4 linked regions of the Macaca fascicularis genome follow. Each later gene encodes a partner of the first gene's protein in a complex. Links are inferred from orthologs where the notes say so. Each region holds a gene or a part of one and is shown in the gene's direction. Other genes may lie near its edges.

The links.
Region 2: the proteins of SUMO3 (region 1) and SENP1 are in contact, whole or in part, in a crystal structure (PDB 6NNQ), measured with the Homo sapiens proteins. The link is inferred for Macaca fascicularis from reciprocal best matches to the Homo sapiens genes SUMO3 and SENP1. Residues at the interface, in NP_008867.2 of Homo sapiens: Gln24, Ser53, Arg55, Gln56, Arg58, Arg60, Asp62, Gly63, Pro65, Asn67, Thr69, Asp70, Gln74, Glu76, Asp84, Phe86, Gln87, Gln88, Gln89, Thr90, Gly91, Gly92; in NP_001254523.1 of Homo sapiens: Gln440, Asp441, Glu446, Arg449, Leu450, Thr451, Lys455, Trp465, Leu466, Asn467, Asp468, Glu469, Asn494, Thr495, Phe496, Lys500, Arg511, Trp512, Lys514, Lys515, His529, Gly531, Val532, His533, Trp534, Gln597, Gly600, Ser601, Asp602, Cys603.
Region 3: the proteins of SUMO3 (region 1) and SENP2 are in contact, whole or in part, in a crystal structure (PDB 2IO1), measured with the Homo sapiens proteins. The link is inferred for Macaca fascicularis from reciprocal best matches to the Homo sapiens genes SUMO3 and SENP2. Residues at the interface, in NP_008867.2 of Homo sapiens: Arg55, Arg58, Arg60, Phe61, Asp62, Gly63, Pro65, Asn67, Asp70, Leu75, Asp81, Asp84, Phe86, Gln87, Gln88, Gln89, Thr90, Gly91, Gly92, Val93, Pro94, Glu95; in NP_067640.2 of Homo sapiens: Gln385, Asp386, Phe393, Lys394, Leu395, Arg396, Trp410, Leu411, Asn412, Asp413, Glu414, Ser439, Thr440, Phe441, Pro444, Lys445, Arg456, Trp457, Lys459, His474, Lys476, Val477, His478, Trp479, Met497, Gln499, Gln542, Asn544, Gly545, Ser546.
Region 4: the proteins of SUMO3 (region 1) and USPL1 are in contact, whole or in part, in a crystal structure (PDB 7ZJU), measured with the Homo sapiens proteins. The link is inferred for Macaca fascicularis from reciprocal best matches to the Homo sapiens genes SUMO3 and USPL1. Residues at the interface, in NP_008867.2 of Homo sapiens: Gln24, Asp25, Gly26, Ser27, Val28, Arg58, Arg60, Gly63, Gln64, Pro65, Ile66, Asn67, Asp70, Leu75, Phe86, Gln87, Gln89, Thr90, Gly91; in NP_005791.3 of Homo sapiens: Ala234, Cys236, Trp237, Pro321, Gln322, Leu323, Arg324, Met330, Glu331, Ser332, Val334, Phe335, Leu339, Tyr368, Thr378, Thr380, His393, Phe394, Gly395, Pro396, Asn398, Arg407, His421, Val423, Tyr451, Asn454, Asn455, His456, Phe457, His493.

The regions. Positions count from the first base shown.
Region 1 is NC_088377.1:2,241,141-2,245,495, forward strand, and holds the start of SUMO3 (small ubiquitin-related modifier 3), read left to right. Parts: upstream 1-1,501; 5' UTR 1,502-1,584; coding exon 1,585-1,605; intron 1,606-4,355. UniProt on the Homo sapiens protein: Ubiquitin-like protein which can be covalently attached to target lysines either as a monomer or as a lysine-linked polymer. Does not seem to be involved in protein degradation and may function as an antagonist of ubiquitin in the degradation process.
Region 2 is NC_088385.1:54,825,551-54,829,111, reverse strand, and holds part of SENP1 (sentrin-specific protease 1), read left to right. Parts: intron 1-1,913; coding exon 1,914-2,017; intron 2,018-2,099; coding exon 2,100-2,386; intron 2,387-3,561. UniProt on the Homo sapiens protein: Protease that catalyzes two essential functions in the SUMO pathway.
Region 3 is NC_088376.1:97,560,864-97,565,069, forward strand, and holds the end of SENP2 (sentrin-specific protease 2), read left to right. Parts: intron 1-54; coding exon 55-150; intron 151-2,321; coding exon 2,322-2,384; 3' UTR 2,385-3,647; downstream 3,648-4,206. UniProt on the Homo sapiens protein: Protease that catalyzes two essential functions in the SUMO pathway.
Region 4 is NC_088391.1:10,421,771-10,425,331, forward strand, and holds part of USPL1 (SUMO-specific isopeptidase USPL1), read left to right. Parts: intron 1-658; coding exon 659-772; intron 773-1,283; exon of another isoform or gene 1,284-1,439; intron 1,440-3,561. UniProt on the Homo sapiens protein: SUMO-specific isopeptidase involved in protein desumoylation. Specifically binds SUMO proteins with a higher affinity for SUMO2 and SUMO3 which it cleaves more efficiently. Also able to process full-length SUMO proteins to their mature forms.

The DNA.
Region 1 (4,355 bases):
TTTAGTGTGCCTGTGCAACCAACGGTCCTGCTGTTTTATGATTAACGGTGTCTTGGAGTTGATAACTCTCTGAACCCTGCCTGCCCTAGGGCACTTCCCCGCCAGCAATCTGAGGGCTCTGAGGCCCCGCGTTCCGGGGAAGGGGCTGGTTGCGGAGCCCCCTCCCAGGACAGTCTGAGCTGGCCACCCACCTCCACATCTTCTGCTGAGGCCCTGGGCTCCAGGTTCCGGAAGGAAGGGACCACACCATATGACCTGCCTGGAAGCCAGGCTGACTCTCTGACCCTCTCCCTGAGAGACTTCAGCAGCCTTCCCGCTCCTAAGTGGGGGCTCTAGCCAAGAAAGTGAATTTTTGAGTCGAAGACGATTTGTGAAGTTATGGTCCATGAAGACTTGTCTCCATGGCTTTGCGACGTTGCTCAGTTGGCTGGGCCTTACCCAGGCAGGAGAGAAACGGCTCAGACCCTTAGGTTCAAATCCAAGCCCTGCCATTTCCCAGCTGAGCCTGTTAGGTGCGGCCTCCCCCACCTTCTGCCGGGCTCAACTTCAGGTGAGACCCCCGCCACGCCCCGGCTGGCACCACCCTGGCACTCCTGACGGATGCAGGGGTGTCCGCCCTCATGTCTGTTCCATCCGAGGCCCTGGGATCACAGACAGGGAGGCCGAGGCTGGCCGGGCATCCCAGGAATGGCGCCCGCAAGTCCCAGGAGGCCGTCCGGCCGGCCCAGCGCTCCGGCGCGTTTCCCGCGTCCACGCGGTCCCCGTTCCGCCGGCACTGGCTGCGTCCAGCCTGGGTTTGCCCGCGCTCGGCGACGGGGCTGCCTGGCCCAGCTCGACGCCCCTCACCAGCGCTGACCTGGGGGTGGTGTCACCTCCCAGTGCCTCAGTTTCTTCACAGGAAAAACGGGTCTTCTTGAGGACGGGTGTGGAGGGCCCGGGGCAGCCCCGTAGGAGCGTTGGCCGAAGGAGCCCGGCCTGCGGCTGACAGGAACCCTCGGCTGCAGGGAAGCGCGTGGCGCCCCCAACCGTCTAGGTGCTGGCCGGATTCGCGCGGCCTCCGCTGACGGGACCCCGCGGGCCGCCTCCTCCGCTCTGTCCGCGGCTCCCGAGAGGGAACATCACCCCCAGAGGCTTCCCTCCTCCGCCCCAGGTCCCCGCGCCCCCGGCCTCACTTCCTGGCGCCCCAGGAACGCGGCCCCCAAGAAAGGACTCGGGGCCCGGGCCCGGGCGGGGAGGCGGGCAGGGGTCCCCAGGGCCCGGAGTCCCCGTACGCGCTCCTGGCCCGCCCACCACAGCGCCCCAGGGCGTCCGCACCCGCCAGGGTCGCGCGGGACCCGCCCCGTGACGCATCTCCAACAGCCCGGAGCCGCGGCCCGGCCAGCGCGCGCCCGACGCCCCGGGGAGCGCGCCTCGTGCACGCGCGCCGCCACGTGACCCCGTGCCGGCCAACGGGTGCGCCGGGATTTGGGGGATAAAGCGCGGCCCCGCGCACAGTTGCGGCGGGAGAGCGGCGGGGCCGAGAGCGTGACTCGCCTGCTCCGCGCTGCTTCCCCCGCGCCGCCTGCCCGCGCCGCCCGCGCAGCCATGTCCGAGGAGAAGCCCAAGGTAAGCGCGGCGCCCCCGCCCGCACACGCGGCCATCGCGGGCGTCCCGGGCGCCTCCGCCGCCGCGCGCCACTGTCGCGGCCATAGAAGACCGCAGCTTCCACGGGGACCCGCGCCCAGGCCTGCAGCGCCGCCCGCGCTCCCGCCCCTCCCCCGCTCCCGTCCGGCCGCGCCGCTCCCCTCCCCCGCCCGGCGGCGCTCGGCGGCGCGCCCCGCCTCCAGCCCGGCTCCGCCCCCAGTCCGACTCCACCCCCCAGTCTGACTCCGCCCCATCCCGACTCCGCCCCCAGCCCGACTCCGCCCCGTGCCCCTGCTCCGCCTCTCCTTGCCCCCTATAGCGCCCCGCCCCCCCGCCCCCTGTAGCGCCCTGCCCCTAAGTGGGTCCGCCCAAGACGGGCCCCTCCCCGAAGCGCGCTGTGCCGCGAGCTCCGTCCCCGCCGGGCCTGGCCACGCCCCAGCTCCACGCCCATCTCCTCCCTAGCTGGGAAGGCGCGCGCCTAGCGCCTCCCAGACCGCCGGGTGTCGGGCCCTGCGCTGCTCCTGCCGAGCGCAGCGCCCTCGGATCCCGCCCCGGCAGTGTCCCCGAGGCGTCTTTGCGTGATCCTCTCCTGAGTCATTGCTGGGCGGGGTCGCCTTCTCCCCCGGCATCGCCCTGGGTGCGGGGTCCTGTGTCAAGTGCACGGAGTCGGCTCAGGAATAAGCGTCTGGGGTTACCCCCGAGGGGCGCGCTCTGAGGGGCCTAGCCCCTGTGAGCAGCGCTGCCGTCCTTCCAGGGCGCCCATCGCGCCCCCGGTATTCACCCACTTCTCCACACCGCGTCCTGGCCGTCGCGTCCCCCAGTGTGCGCCCACCCCTCTCCTTCCTGTCTCCCCGGTCGTGACCCCAGTGTGCACCCACTGCCTCTCCATCGCGTCCCCCGGTGTGCGCCTACCCCTCCCCATCGCATATCCCGGTGTGCGCCTACCCCTCCCCATCGCGTCCCCGGGTATGCGCCTACCCCTCCCCATCGCGTACCCCGGTGTGCGCCCACCCCCCCCATCACGCCGCCCATGGTGTGTGCCCACTCATCCCCATCATGCCCCAAGGTGTGCGCCCTCGCCTCCCCATCAGTCTCCCGGTGTGCATCCACCCCTTCCCATCATGCCCCCCGGTGTGCGCCCACTCCTCCCCATCGCGTCCTTGGTGTGCGCCCACCCCTCCGTATTGCGTCGCCCTCCCCATCACACCCCCCGTGTGTGCCCACCCCTCCCCGTCGCGTCCCCCGGTGTGCGCCCACCCCTCTCCATCACACCTCCTATGGTGTGTGCCCACCTCTCCCCATCACGCCCCTTATGGTGTGTGCCCACCTCTCCCCATTGCGCCTCCCCTGCCATGCGCACCCACCCCTCCTTATCCAGCCTTGGGTGTGCTTTAGTTTCCCCCATTGCCACACTGGGGTGTGCATCCTTCCAGTCTCAGTCCTGGGGTATGCACCCTTCATTCAGGTGCACTGGCCACTCCTCCTTGGGAGGGTCCTTAGTCGCGGTCTCCAGTGTTCATAAAAAGAGAACCTTTCGGAAGCCCTTGGTGTGCACTCTTGGCCTCTATGTTACATCCTAGTGGAAGATGACTAGAGCTGAAGGCTCTGTAAGGATGCTGTCTCTGATACTGGCCTGGTCCTGGAGGTGACCACCCTCCCTTTACAGATGAGGGTGGAGGCTCAGTGCCAGACACTGGTGGAAACTGGGATGGAACCGTCCGGAACCATGGTTGCGGCCTCTGGAAGTCTGCACTCTGCTTGCTGTGGTCAGACTCCAAGGAAACCTCCCCTATCCAGATGGCATTTGGAGTGACCTTCGCTTTTTACATTTTGACTCCAGTGAAGTCAAAGTTCTCCCACTCAGGGGTTGTTTGAATATTTAAATACTTGTTAAAACTAGGCCAAATATAAATGTCCTTTCTTTATGTTTTCGTAGGTGGCTTCCTCTTAATGAAGAGTACATGTAATAAAATATGTATGATACTCATTTTCTCAGCAGTGTTTACACTTAGCTCTGCCATGTGGTCAACCTCAGGCTCCAATTCCGTTGAAAACACTTGTTGAATTCCAGAATGATTGAGTGGCTGCCACCTCACAGGCCCTGCTCCTGGTGGGTCCCCTCTGAGCCCATGTGGGAGCAGCTCTACCCTGTGGGGCTCTGAGGAAGGGGAAGAAGTGGACTCTGGGGCCCAGTGGTGCTGGAAAGAAGAGCTTTTGGGTCAGGCAGGAGAATGTTCTGACTTCCCTGGATAGCTGAGGCGGAGGATTGACTAGCAAACTGAGGCCCATGTTTTTAGGGCTTCATTTTTTAACTCACGAGTTCACTTGCTTATTAGGAATTTACCAGGGGTCTGGGACAGACCGACATTGCTGGTGTCTGTCTGTCTGGAGCAGAGGCACTGTGGCCGGCCCTGCCCTGCCCCAGCCTCTCCTGGGGCTGCAGCCATTACCCTGTGGGGACACGTGTGGGCCCTGCATCTGTGCCTTTGAACACACTCATATCTTCCTTCCCTAAAGAAGCCAGTGCATCCTCATGCTTGGGGAAGTGAAGGGGGCTCATGCAGGGGTCCTCACTTCCATCCCGCCTGGAACTGTTTGCATGCTCTTCCTTCCTAGGCCAGTTTTCCCTGCGCTGGAGGCCACATTTGGGATGGGGGGATGGGGGTGTGCCAGCTCACCACTCAGGCTGCTGCCAAGCCACCGGCGTCCCGGGAGTGGGCAAGGGTGTCTGA
Region 2 (3,561 bases), on another chromosome or scaffold:
CCACTGCACTCCAACCTGATGACAGAGACTCCGTCTCAAAACAAAACACACACACACAAAAAGAAACCCCTACATATTGGGTGCTGTGGCTCATGTCTGTAATCCCAGCACTTTGGGAGGCCAAGGTGGGCAGATCACTTGAAGTTAGGAGTTCGAGACCAGCCTGGCCAACATGGTGAAACCCTGTCTGTACTAAAAATTAAAAAGCCGGGGTGTGGTGGCGTGCACCTATAGTCCAAGCTATTCCAGAGGCTGAGGCAGGGGAATCACTCGAACCCGGCAGGTGGAGGTTGCAGTGAGCCGAGATGGCGCCCCGGCACTCCAGCCTGGGCTGGTCAGGAGATCAAGACCATCCTGGCTAACACGGTGAAACCCCGTCTCTACTAAAAACACAAAAAATTAGCCAGGCATGGTGGCGGGCACCTGTAGTCCCAGCACATATTGAAATATCACGGTACAAGATGCCGCTAACCCTGACATAATGTTTAAAATTATTTTGTGAGGATTGGTGGTTGTATTAAACTGTATATGAGATTAAAAATAAATTGCCAGGGCATATTACTAAGTGCTAGTGAACACAGCCCATTGAGTCATGGGACCTGTATAGAATTGATGCTTTGCCAGAGTTATAAGTTCTTATATAATCTGGTTCTCTGTCAGGTGATCTCATTTCTTCCTACTCTTCTGATTCACATGGACCTTACTGTTTTTGGAACGCATTAAGCACCTTCCCCTCTCAGGGCTTGGCATTTGTTGTTCCTCTATTTGGAATATTCTTTTATATGTTTCTAGGACTGACTTCTTCCCTTGGCTTTAGGTTTCTGCGGAAATACCACCTTTTTAAGAGAAATCTTACCTGTTCCTGCTGCTCTCCTTCCTAACTTTCCATTCTCTTACCCTTTAATTTTCTGCATTCTACCTGACTAATTTTTTGTTTAATTCCTTTCACTGCAATATAATCTCCATAAATACAGGAACTTTATTTTATTCGATGCATTCATTATCTTTAGTGACTGGAGCATAGTAGGTGTGCATGACAATGAATGAATGTTATGAAGTATATGGTTTTCCCTAAATGTAGTATTGGGGCTTAAAGGAAAAATAAATAAATAAATGTTGGAGATGAAAATTGTCTCTGGAAAGTAACTGCACTTAAATAAAATAGGAAACTGTTGGCAAGATATTCCACTCCAACTGTTTTGGACTATTCTGGTTACTTCCTTGTGATTTTTCTAACAGGTTTCAGGAATCAAGGGATTTGTTGGAATCCTAATTTAGAGGCCCTTTATTTCTGGGACTCTTTTTTGACTCAGAAGTGATTACCTGCTGCCTTTCTGGTTTTATAGCCTATAGCTTCTCTGCACTATTATTTAAATATATATTCCATAATTTTTCAAAGTATATTATCTGGTATTTACTCAACCTCTCTTTTACACATTTGATAATTTTATATATATATATTTCTTTTTCTTTTTCTTTTTCTTTTTTTTTTGAGATGGAGTCTTGCTCTGCCCCCGGGCTGGAGTGTAGTGGCACGATCTTCGCTCACTGCAACCTTCGCCTTCCAGGTTCAAGTGATTATCCTGCCTCAGCCTCCCTAGTAGCTGGGACCACAGGCATGTGCCACTACAGCCAGTTTTTTTTAGTTTTTCTTTTGTAGAGTTGGGGTCTCACTATGTTGACTGGGCTGGTTTTGAACTTCTAACCTCAAATGATCCTCCCCGCTTGTCCTCCCAAAATGCTGGAATTACAGGCATGAGCCACTGTGTCAGGCCCGTAATTCTTAATTATCTTAAGGATTCTGCCTGAGCTTTGGCAGAGCTAGGATTCCATTTACATGCTGGTTTGAGAAGTACTTGCCTTATTGCATGTGTTTAAACTGTTTTTTTTTGTTTGTTTGTTTGTTTTTATAGACAGTTCAAGAAGAAGAAAGAGAGATTTATAGACAGCTGCTACAGATGGTCACAGGGAAACAGTTTTCTATAGCCAAACCTACCACACATTTTCCTTTACACCTGTGAGTCACAGAAGCATATTTCAGATGAATTTAATTCTACAATTTATTATTTGATATTGAAACAATATTCTTCTCTTGCTAGGTCTCGATGTCTTAGTTCCAGTAAAAATACTTTGAAGGACTCACTATTTAAAAATGGAAACTCTTGTGCATCTCAGATCATTGGCTCTGATACTTCATCATCTGGATCTGCCAGCATTTTAACTAACCAGGAACAGCTGTCCCACAGTGTATATTCCCTCTCTTCTTATACCCCAGATGTTGTTGCATTTGGATCCAAAGATTCTGATACTCTTCATCAACCCCATCATCACCACTCTGTTCCACATCAGCCAGATAACTTAGCAGCTTCAAATACACAATCTGAAGGTAAACATGGTATCATATAACTACATTTTTAGTCCTAATAGCCAATTAACTGTTTATTAGCTCTATTACAGGCAACATTGTAATATACATATAAATAAACATACACAGTTTGAGCATACCGAATCTGGAAATATGAAATCCAAAATGTTCCAAAATCTGAAACTTTATGAATACCAACATGATACTCTAAGGAAATGCTCAGTGGAGCATTTGGGATTTTGGATATTTGGATTTGGGATGCTCAAATTGTATAATGCAAATATTCAAAAGTCAAAAAAATCCAAAATTTGAAACTTCTGGTCCCAACCATTTTGGATAAGGGATATGGAACTTGTAAGACATGTACTTCCATACTTTAAATACATATGATTCAATTAACCATGCTATGAGTAAATTAAACCCACAAATAGGATATTCTTTTTTTCTTACCTCAAGATGCAAATGATTTGATACTTTTTATTTAAACAATTAACTTTCTAAGTAGAGGCTAGAGTCAGAGTATATATACTCAGCCCAATTGCTTCAGCACTTTCTCTGTTTCTATGACTTTACAGTGGTAAGTAAGAATTCTGAAGTTGTAGGAGTTTTGAAACATCAGATAAATATTGAAGCTTAAGTATTTAGGTTTGTGTGTTTTAGAATGATTGTCAGCATTGGAAACAAAAAGCTTTCTACCTAATTTTCAACTAACTGAAATATTCACTCTCTTTGCATTCCAGTTAATTAACGTTTTGTTGTGATAGATTTCTTTGTTTCCTTAATTTTCCCCTTCTTTAGGTATGTATTATGTATCAATTTATGGTACGTACTTAGGTATGTAACTTAAAACAAGTTTTAGGTTAAATGGTTAAACATCAGGGATTTTTTGATAGATGGAGCACTAGTCGTTCCCCTCCTTTCTCAGGTTGTTTGAGTTTTGTTTTTTTTATCTACTTGTCACTTTATGAGAATTCTCACTCAGGATTAAACTTTTTGGCAGCATCACTATATAGCTACACATATCCATGAAGACTCTTGTTATATTTTGTGAGGTGATATACTGAGAACTGTAAAGGGAAAAAAAAAAGCCAAAAAAACCAAACTCCTTTAACCTCAGAAACATACATTGTGTTGCAGATATTATACAACTAAATTGAAACAAATATACTACATTGCACTGTTTAATTACTTTCCTT
Region 3 (4,206 bases), on another chromosome or scaffold:
TGTATATAATGATGTTTTACCCTTTCCTCCCTTCTTTTTTCTTTGTAATTTTAGGAGATTCCTCAACAGTTGAATGGGAGTGATTGTGGAATGTTTACTTGTAAATATGCAGATTATATTTCTAGGGACAAACCTATCACATTTACTCAGGTGAGTGAAGACCCTCCTCATTCATTTACTTGTTACTAAGCAAGATAAGGCACTTGGCCAGTGCCTGGCACATGTTCAGCTCTCAGTAGTAGTAGCTGGCCAGGCGTGGTGGCTCACACCTATATTCCCAGCACTTTGGGAGGCCGAGGCAGGCGGATCACCTGAGGTTAGGAGTTCAAGACCAGCCTGGCCAACATGGTGAAACCCCATCTCTACTAAAAACACAAAAGTTAGCCAGGTGTGGTGGTGCACACCTATAATCCCAGCTACTCAGGAGACTGAGGCAGGAGAATCGCTTGAACCCAGGAGGCAGAGGTCGCAGTGAGCCGAGGTCACACCAGTGCACTCCAGTCTTGGCAACAGAGCGAGACTCTTGTCTCAAAAATAAATAAATAATAGTAGCTGGGCTCATGCCTGTAATCCCAGCACTTTGGGAGGCCAAGGCAGGTGGATCAGCTGAGGTCAGAAGTTCAAGACCAGCCTGACCAACATGGAGAAACCCTGTGTCTACTAAAAATACAAAATTAGCCGGGCGTGGTGGCGCATGCCTGTAATCCCAGTTACTAGGGAGGCTGAGGCAGGAGAATTGCTTGAACCCAGGAGGTGGAGGTTGTGGGGAGTCGAGATCACGCCATTGCACTCCAGCCTGGGGCAACAAAAGCGAAACTCCATCTCCCCAAAAAAAAAAAAAAAAATAGTAGTAGCTGTGCTATTCTTATTGCTGTAAATCTTGGTTTTAGCCCTACCCCTGCCAGAATCAGGGTTTGTTATTTTATCTGCTCTCAGGTTTATCCTAGTCTTTGGTACACAATGGGCACAAATTGCAAACCTCTGAACTCTGGCATTCATTGGTTCCTGTGTATTATTATTTCTAGCCAAAGAAAGAGGTATGTCAGTATTTAATAGGAAGGGAAAAACAGGCCTGTGAGCATTGAAGTCACAGGTCTAAGATGTAACTTGTGAATACTGCTCTTCCTTTCTGTTCTGCTCTTTTGTTTGTTTAATTCTCCATGGCTCTGCATTTGATTGGAAACTCAAGTATGTTGGGAATTCTTGAGAATTTGTAACAGTGGATTCTCAACCTTTTTACAACTGAGGACAACCTCATTAAAAATATTTTTCAGGCCGGTGTGGTGGCTCAAGCTTGTAATCTCAGCACTTTGGGAGGCCGAGGCGGGTGGATCACGAGGTCAGGAGATCGAGACCATCCTGGTAACACAGTGAAACCCCGTCTCTACTAAAAAATACAAAAAACTAGCCGGGCGAGGTGGCGGGCGCCTGTAGTCCCAGCTACTGGGGATGCTGAGGCAGGAGAATGGCGTAAACCCAGGAGGCAGAGCTTGCAGTTAGCTGAGATCCAGCCACTGCACTCCAGCCTGGGCGACAGAGCGAGACTCTGTCTCAAAAAATATATATATATATTTTTCATCCACAGACTTTATTTTGATAGATGTCTACCAAGCAAACTGTATTTATTACATGAATACAAACTATAATACAAACTGTATTACATGAAGTAACTAGGACTCCCATGCTGAATTAATACAATTCCAGTAAAAAATAAAGGCATTTATTGCTTAGTCTTAGCAGTTTTACTAAGAGCAAATGTGCAGTTTTTACTAGATGTTTTGAACTATTTAAAATAATTTAAGAATCATGTGTTAAGACTTTTTAGCCCCCACCCCTAGGTAGGACATCACTAGTTTTTTATTATTATTATTATTATTATTATTATTATTATTATTATTTTGAGATGGAGTCTTGCTCTGTTGCCCAGGCTGGAGTGCAGAGGCATGATCTTGGCTCACTGCAACCTCCATCTCTCAGGTTCAAGTGATTCTCCTGCCTCAGCCTCCTGAGAAGCTGGGACTACAGGCATGTACCACCATGCCCGGCTAATTTTTGTATTTTTAATGGAGGCGAGGTTTCACCGTGTTAGCCAGGATGGTTTCGATCTCCCGACCTTATGATCTGCCCTCCTCGGCCTCCCAAAGTGCTGGGACTGCGCCCGGCCTTTTAATGGTTTGATAAGTATGTTCCATGATATAAAAATGTCAACATTTAGAAAAAGAACATGGACATCCTGCTTTATTGACATGATTACACCTGAAGGTTGTGCTGCTGTGCACATTATGATGTAATGCATGTGTTGTTTATGGGATTCTTTGCAGCACCAGATGCCTCTCTTCCGGAAGAAGATGGTGTGGGAAATCCTTCATCAGCAGTTGCTGTGAGAAAACTTTGCCTGGTCCCCTCTAGCTGCTGGTGGTTCTTTCACAGACATTTCCATATACCTCATGCATTGTGGGTTAAAAAGTCCCTGCATCACTTCTGTTCTCTCACAGGTACTGAGCTGTCAAAAGTGCATGAAGGCCTCTCACTGCACCCTAGTCCTGACTTGGGGTGCAGAGGGCTGCTTGCAATCCTGTTTGTAAGGCTGTGCCTGCTCAGAGCTTTGGACTGTTCAACCCACACAAGAACAAACGCTAACTACTATTTTTTTTAAGAGATTCTTTTCCCTATGAATGTGGGAAATGCAGGATTTACTCTGTGAATTGTTTGTTTTCTGTGTGTTTGTTCAGCGTATTCATTCACTCACTCGTTTGCAAACATAATGGGCAGTGGTCATTTGCTGCTGCTCTTTTACAGTTAGCTCTAAATTACTTGTTTGAACTATTTATTTCTGAAAGGAATGTTACTCAAGCTGCCACTCCCTGCTGAAGACCAGGAGGGAACTCTCACTGGGGGCGGAAGGAAGTGGAGCTGGAGCAGTAACTGCCAACATGAAGCTGGAGGGTTTGGGATTTTGTTTTTTGTTTTTGTTTTTTTGAGGCTCAAAAATGCTGGGAGAAATGAAAATGCTGTGGGATAGGGCTCCCGTTGCCTTTCAGAGGAAGTCTGACACTACAGCGTTGGCACAGTGCCATGAACAGTGGACCTGTGCCCAAGGAACTCTGACTATCCAAGCATCTTCCGAAGAGATGTGTTGTCATCTTAAAGAGACTTCCCTTTCTGGAAATGAGGTGACTTGGCTTAGTCTTGAAACTGGATTCATGGATTTGAAGTAACTGTAAACCCTAAATCTTCATTTTCATCCCAGATCTGATTGAGTATAAACCTCAGAATTATAGGGCCTGGCCTGAGCTGTTTAATTCAAAAGATACTATTCAATTTAAAGCTATTTTTCCTCAGAGTTTTTGTTTTCTATATATTAAGCCTAAATTAAGTTTTCTACTCATTAAGACTGACATCTCCCCACTCCATCCCCACTGAAATTTGTGGAAGAAAATTTAGTACTTGGCTCTGAGGTTGCCAGTTATACAATAATCTATTTTGCATATGAAAGTTTGTATTTAACTTTTTTGTTCATTAAAAACCTTACTGATGTGGTTATAACTTCAGAAAGTTTAGAGTTGGTCAGAACATATTTTGCAAGATCTAGTGCCTAGTGTTGCTTTTCTGATGTAATAAAAGGTTGTCTGGCAGAACCTAAAAAAGTATATGCTGAAATGATTTCCAACCCTCTCCCTACTTCAACCTCCCAAACTTGTTCTGGTTCATAAAAGCAAGAGGTAAAACTGGAAAAATTGGGCATGTGTTACCTATGAATCTACATGCCTGCCATTTGGAGTGCTCCGGCTGCTGGTCCCAGAGGTATACTGGTTATAGCTATTGCAGCCAGTTCCCTGAGACTTGTAAAATCCTGGTTTAGGACATGGGCCTGTGGTGTGGATTGAAAATGCTGGGCCTACTTGATGGTCAGCCAGAGGCCATGTGGTTGGGTGATGATTGAAGTGGGAGCAGGTTGTGCTACACCTCCCTCCTTCCTGCAGCCCCTGCTCCTTTCCCTGGGCTCCTGGCACTGAGTGACTACTGGGACCAGGCAATGAGCACAGCCAAAAAGGCCAGAGGTCACTAGGTCAGCATTATACCAAACACCTGGCTTTCACTGGGCATCAGCGTGCTTCACTTGAGAGTTTGGTACCATGGTTAAGATTGATTCCATGCGCCGGGCGCGGTGGCTCAAGCCTGTAATCCCAGCACTTTGGGAGGCCG
Region 4 (3,561 bases), on another chromosome or scaffold:
GGGACTACAGGTGTGTACCACCATACCCAGCTTTCTTTTTAAGAGATAGGGGTGTCACTCTGTTGCCCAGGTTGGTCAGAGGTTTTAATGAAGCAAATTTGTGTAGACAAAGCAGGATGTGGAACCAAATAAACACTATGTTGCCACTGAAGACCCCTTCAGACTCCTCAAAAATGACATAGAAGGGAAATATACGAGGTATTAGTTTGGGAAATAATTGTAACTTTATTAAGACTCCTTATAAATTTATCTGTTCCTATGACCTGGCTAAGTTCAATAAAAGTTACACAGAGTGGAATAAATGAATAAATCATTTGTAGTATAAGTAATTGCACATAAGGAGGTAACTTCTTTAGCTGTTTTAGATATAGACATAGCATCTGAAAGGTTATTTTGCTATACCTGTGATTATATGGGTGAGAAAGGCTTTCCCCGAGATTTTACCCATTAGGTAAGTACTAATGATATTGTGCTGATAACATACATTAAGGGAATATATGGTATACCACAGAGAAAGAATTAAGGAAATTTGGTGTTTTGCTTTTTGTCTCTGTTTGCAGAACTTACTGACTCAGCTTTCATTCTTGGGAATGTCTCAGTTTTCTGTGGCAAGATACACATCGATGAGGAATTGATAATGTTCTTTGTATTTTCTTAGATGGAGATTGTAAAAAACTTACCTCAGAAATATTTGCAGAGATAGAGACCTGTCTGAATGAAGTTAGAGATGAAATTTTTATTAGCCTTCAACCCCAGCTTAGATGCACATTAGGTAAGTAATTGGTATAACTTGCTCGTATTATACTCATCTACCATTTAGAAATACGTACATCATAAGGAAGTATAACACTGTTTGATTACCTTGGATGATCATCTTCTTGGGAGAGAGAATCTGAGTGGTCTGACTTAGGAATCTACCACTGGGTAGGTTATTGTAGGGCAGAGCCGTTCTATATAAATATGCAGGCTGGTGTTCCCCCTCTTGAGAGTGGGTGCTGTTCTCAGAACCAGGAGAATTTTAGGGGCATATCATTAGTTGCTTCTCTAGTACGTTTCCTAGCAGACAGATCTAGCATTTTTAACCTCAATTGTGCATTAAAAAGCACCGAGGGAATTTAAAAGTAAATGCCAATGCTAGGGGCATTTGAATTAGAATCTCAGGGATGGGGCTCAGGAAATCAGTAATTTTTAGAAACCCCACATGATTGTTAAATGTACACAGGGTTTAGAATCTCATCTAAACCAACCATAGTAATTCTGTTTCCCTACCGTGATTGCTTTAGGAATGGACATGTGGTACAGTTTTGGCCAGTGGATATTAAGAGAAATATGCTGATGGCATTTTGAGAAAGCTTCCTCGCCTTTAGAAAGGGCACAAGGATGGGACCTCTTTGTTCTCTGTGACTTGGTTTTTGGCCTGTGGGAGTGGTGTGCAGCAAGTGAGTTAGAGTCTGACCAAACCTTTCTAAATGTCTTTAGTATTACAGAAAGGAGCTGTGGGGTTTTTTGTTTGTTTTTGTTTTGAAAGGGCTTTTTGTTTTATTTTCCTTTTATCCTTGTATTAACTCTTCTAGTAATGTTAGAGTAGCAGAGTACGATACTCCCTCTTAGTAATTACCCATATTATGTAAAGTATCAGTGCCTTCTAGTTTTTCTCTCAATGAGTGACATTTAACTTATATTAAAAAATGATTTATATATTTTATAATAAAATCAGTTGTTGCAACTGATTTATCTAGCATGTACAAAAGACACCATGCTTCCAGATCATTATAAAATATGATATTTTATAATATATTGACAATATATTTATAACATATTTATATACTTATACAGCCGGGCACGGTGGCTCACGCCTGTAATCCCAGCACTTTGGGAGGCCGAGGCAGGCGGATCACAAGGTCAAGAGATCGAGACCATCCTGGCCAACATGGTGAAATCCGGTATCTACTAAAAATACAAAAATTAGCTGGGTGTGATGGCATGTGCCTGTAGTCCCAGCTACTCAGGAGGCTGAGGCAGGAGAATCGCTTGAACCTGGGAGACAGGTTTCAGTGAGCCGAGATTGCACCACTGCACTCCAGCCTGGGGACAGAGTGAGACTCTGTCTCCAAAAAAAAAATATATATATGTATATGTGTGTGTGTATGTGTGTATATATATATATATATATATAATATATCTGGAAGCATGGCGTCTTTTGTACATGCTGGACAGCTTTTGACATATTTCTTTGACTCATGCTTCTGTCCCCTAATTTTCACTTTTTTCCTACATTTTATTAAAATTGATATATAATTATTGTATATCTGCTTTGTTTTTATGGACTTATACATATATATTTATTCTGTTTTTATAAAAATCTGATTTTTCATATGCCAGATTTCTGACATTTCCTCCTCTAGGCCTAAAGAACTGTTCTAATTTATGTATCAGATAGACTCTGAGATGAAATGAATATTCTTTTTTCTTTATATCAAAGTGTAATTTACATATAGTGAGACCCTTTTTAAGCGTGTACAGCTCTGTAACCCTCACTATAGTCAAGATATAGGACTCTGTCACTCTAAAACTTTTCACCAGGCTCCTTGTGGTTAACCAGGTTCATCACCCCCAGCCACTGATCTGTTGAGCGAATACTCATTTCGAAGGAGCCTTTTCCATAAGATCCTAGAGTTTAGATGGAGGGGCTTTTGTGGTGCATTTAGCAGGTACCATTTCCCTTCTAGAGTCCCTACTTCAGTTCCCAGTTGAATTAAAGAATGGTTTCTCCCCCAGCCTGAATCACTACCCTTCTTATCCCAGATAATTATTTTTGGAACGAAGTTACATCTTTTGCTCCACCTCCGCCATGGGCCTGGTTTTCTATGTAACAGAAGGAATTTTTAAATTATTATTTTGTGTAATCATAATAATTGGGCAAGCATACAGCTCTTTCAATGCAGGAGGATTCCTCTCTTGTTTTACTGCCCATTCAAGGATAGGTGCTATATTTTAGCTGAAGATCTTACTAATTAAATATAACTTATTTAACCATGTGTTTTGAGCTCTTTTATGATATTTTAATTCACGGAGAACTTTATGTATTTTAGACCTGAAGATTTTATATTGTGATTATGAAATGTAAATTGTTTGCTTTTTCAATTAATATTTACTTACAATAGAATGCGGATTTAAAGGCTGGTAATGAATTACAAAATTGTGCTATATGACATACTATTTATGCATACAGTGTTGCATATTTTCATTTCTGGGAGATTTATTTGTATTTCTACTTACAAAAAAACTTTTTAAAACTTGTTTTATGGCTGGGCCCGGTGGCTCACACCTGTATTCCCAGCACTTTGGGAGGCGGAGGCAGGTGGATCACCTGAGGTCAGGAGTTCAAGATCAGCCTGACTAACATGGTGAAACCCTGTCTCTACTAAAAATACAAAAAATTAGTCAGGCGTGGTGTAGGAGCCTGTAATCCCAGCTACTCGGGGGTGCTGAGGCAGGAGAATTGCTGGAACCCAGGAGGCAGTGGTTGCGGTGAGCTGAGATCGCGCCACCGCACTCCAG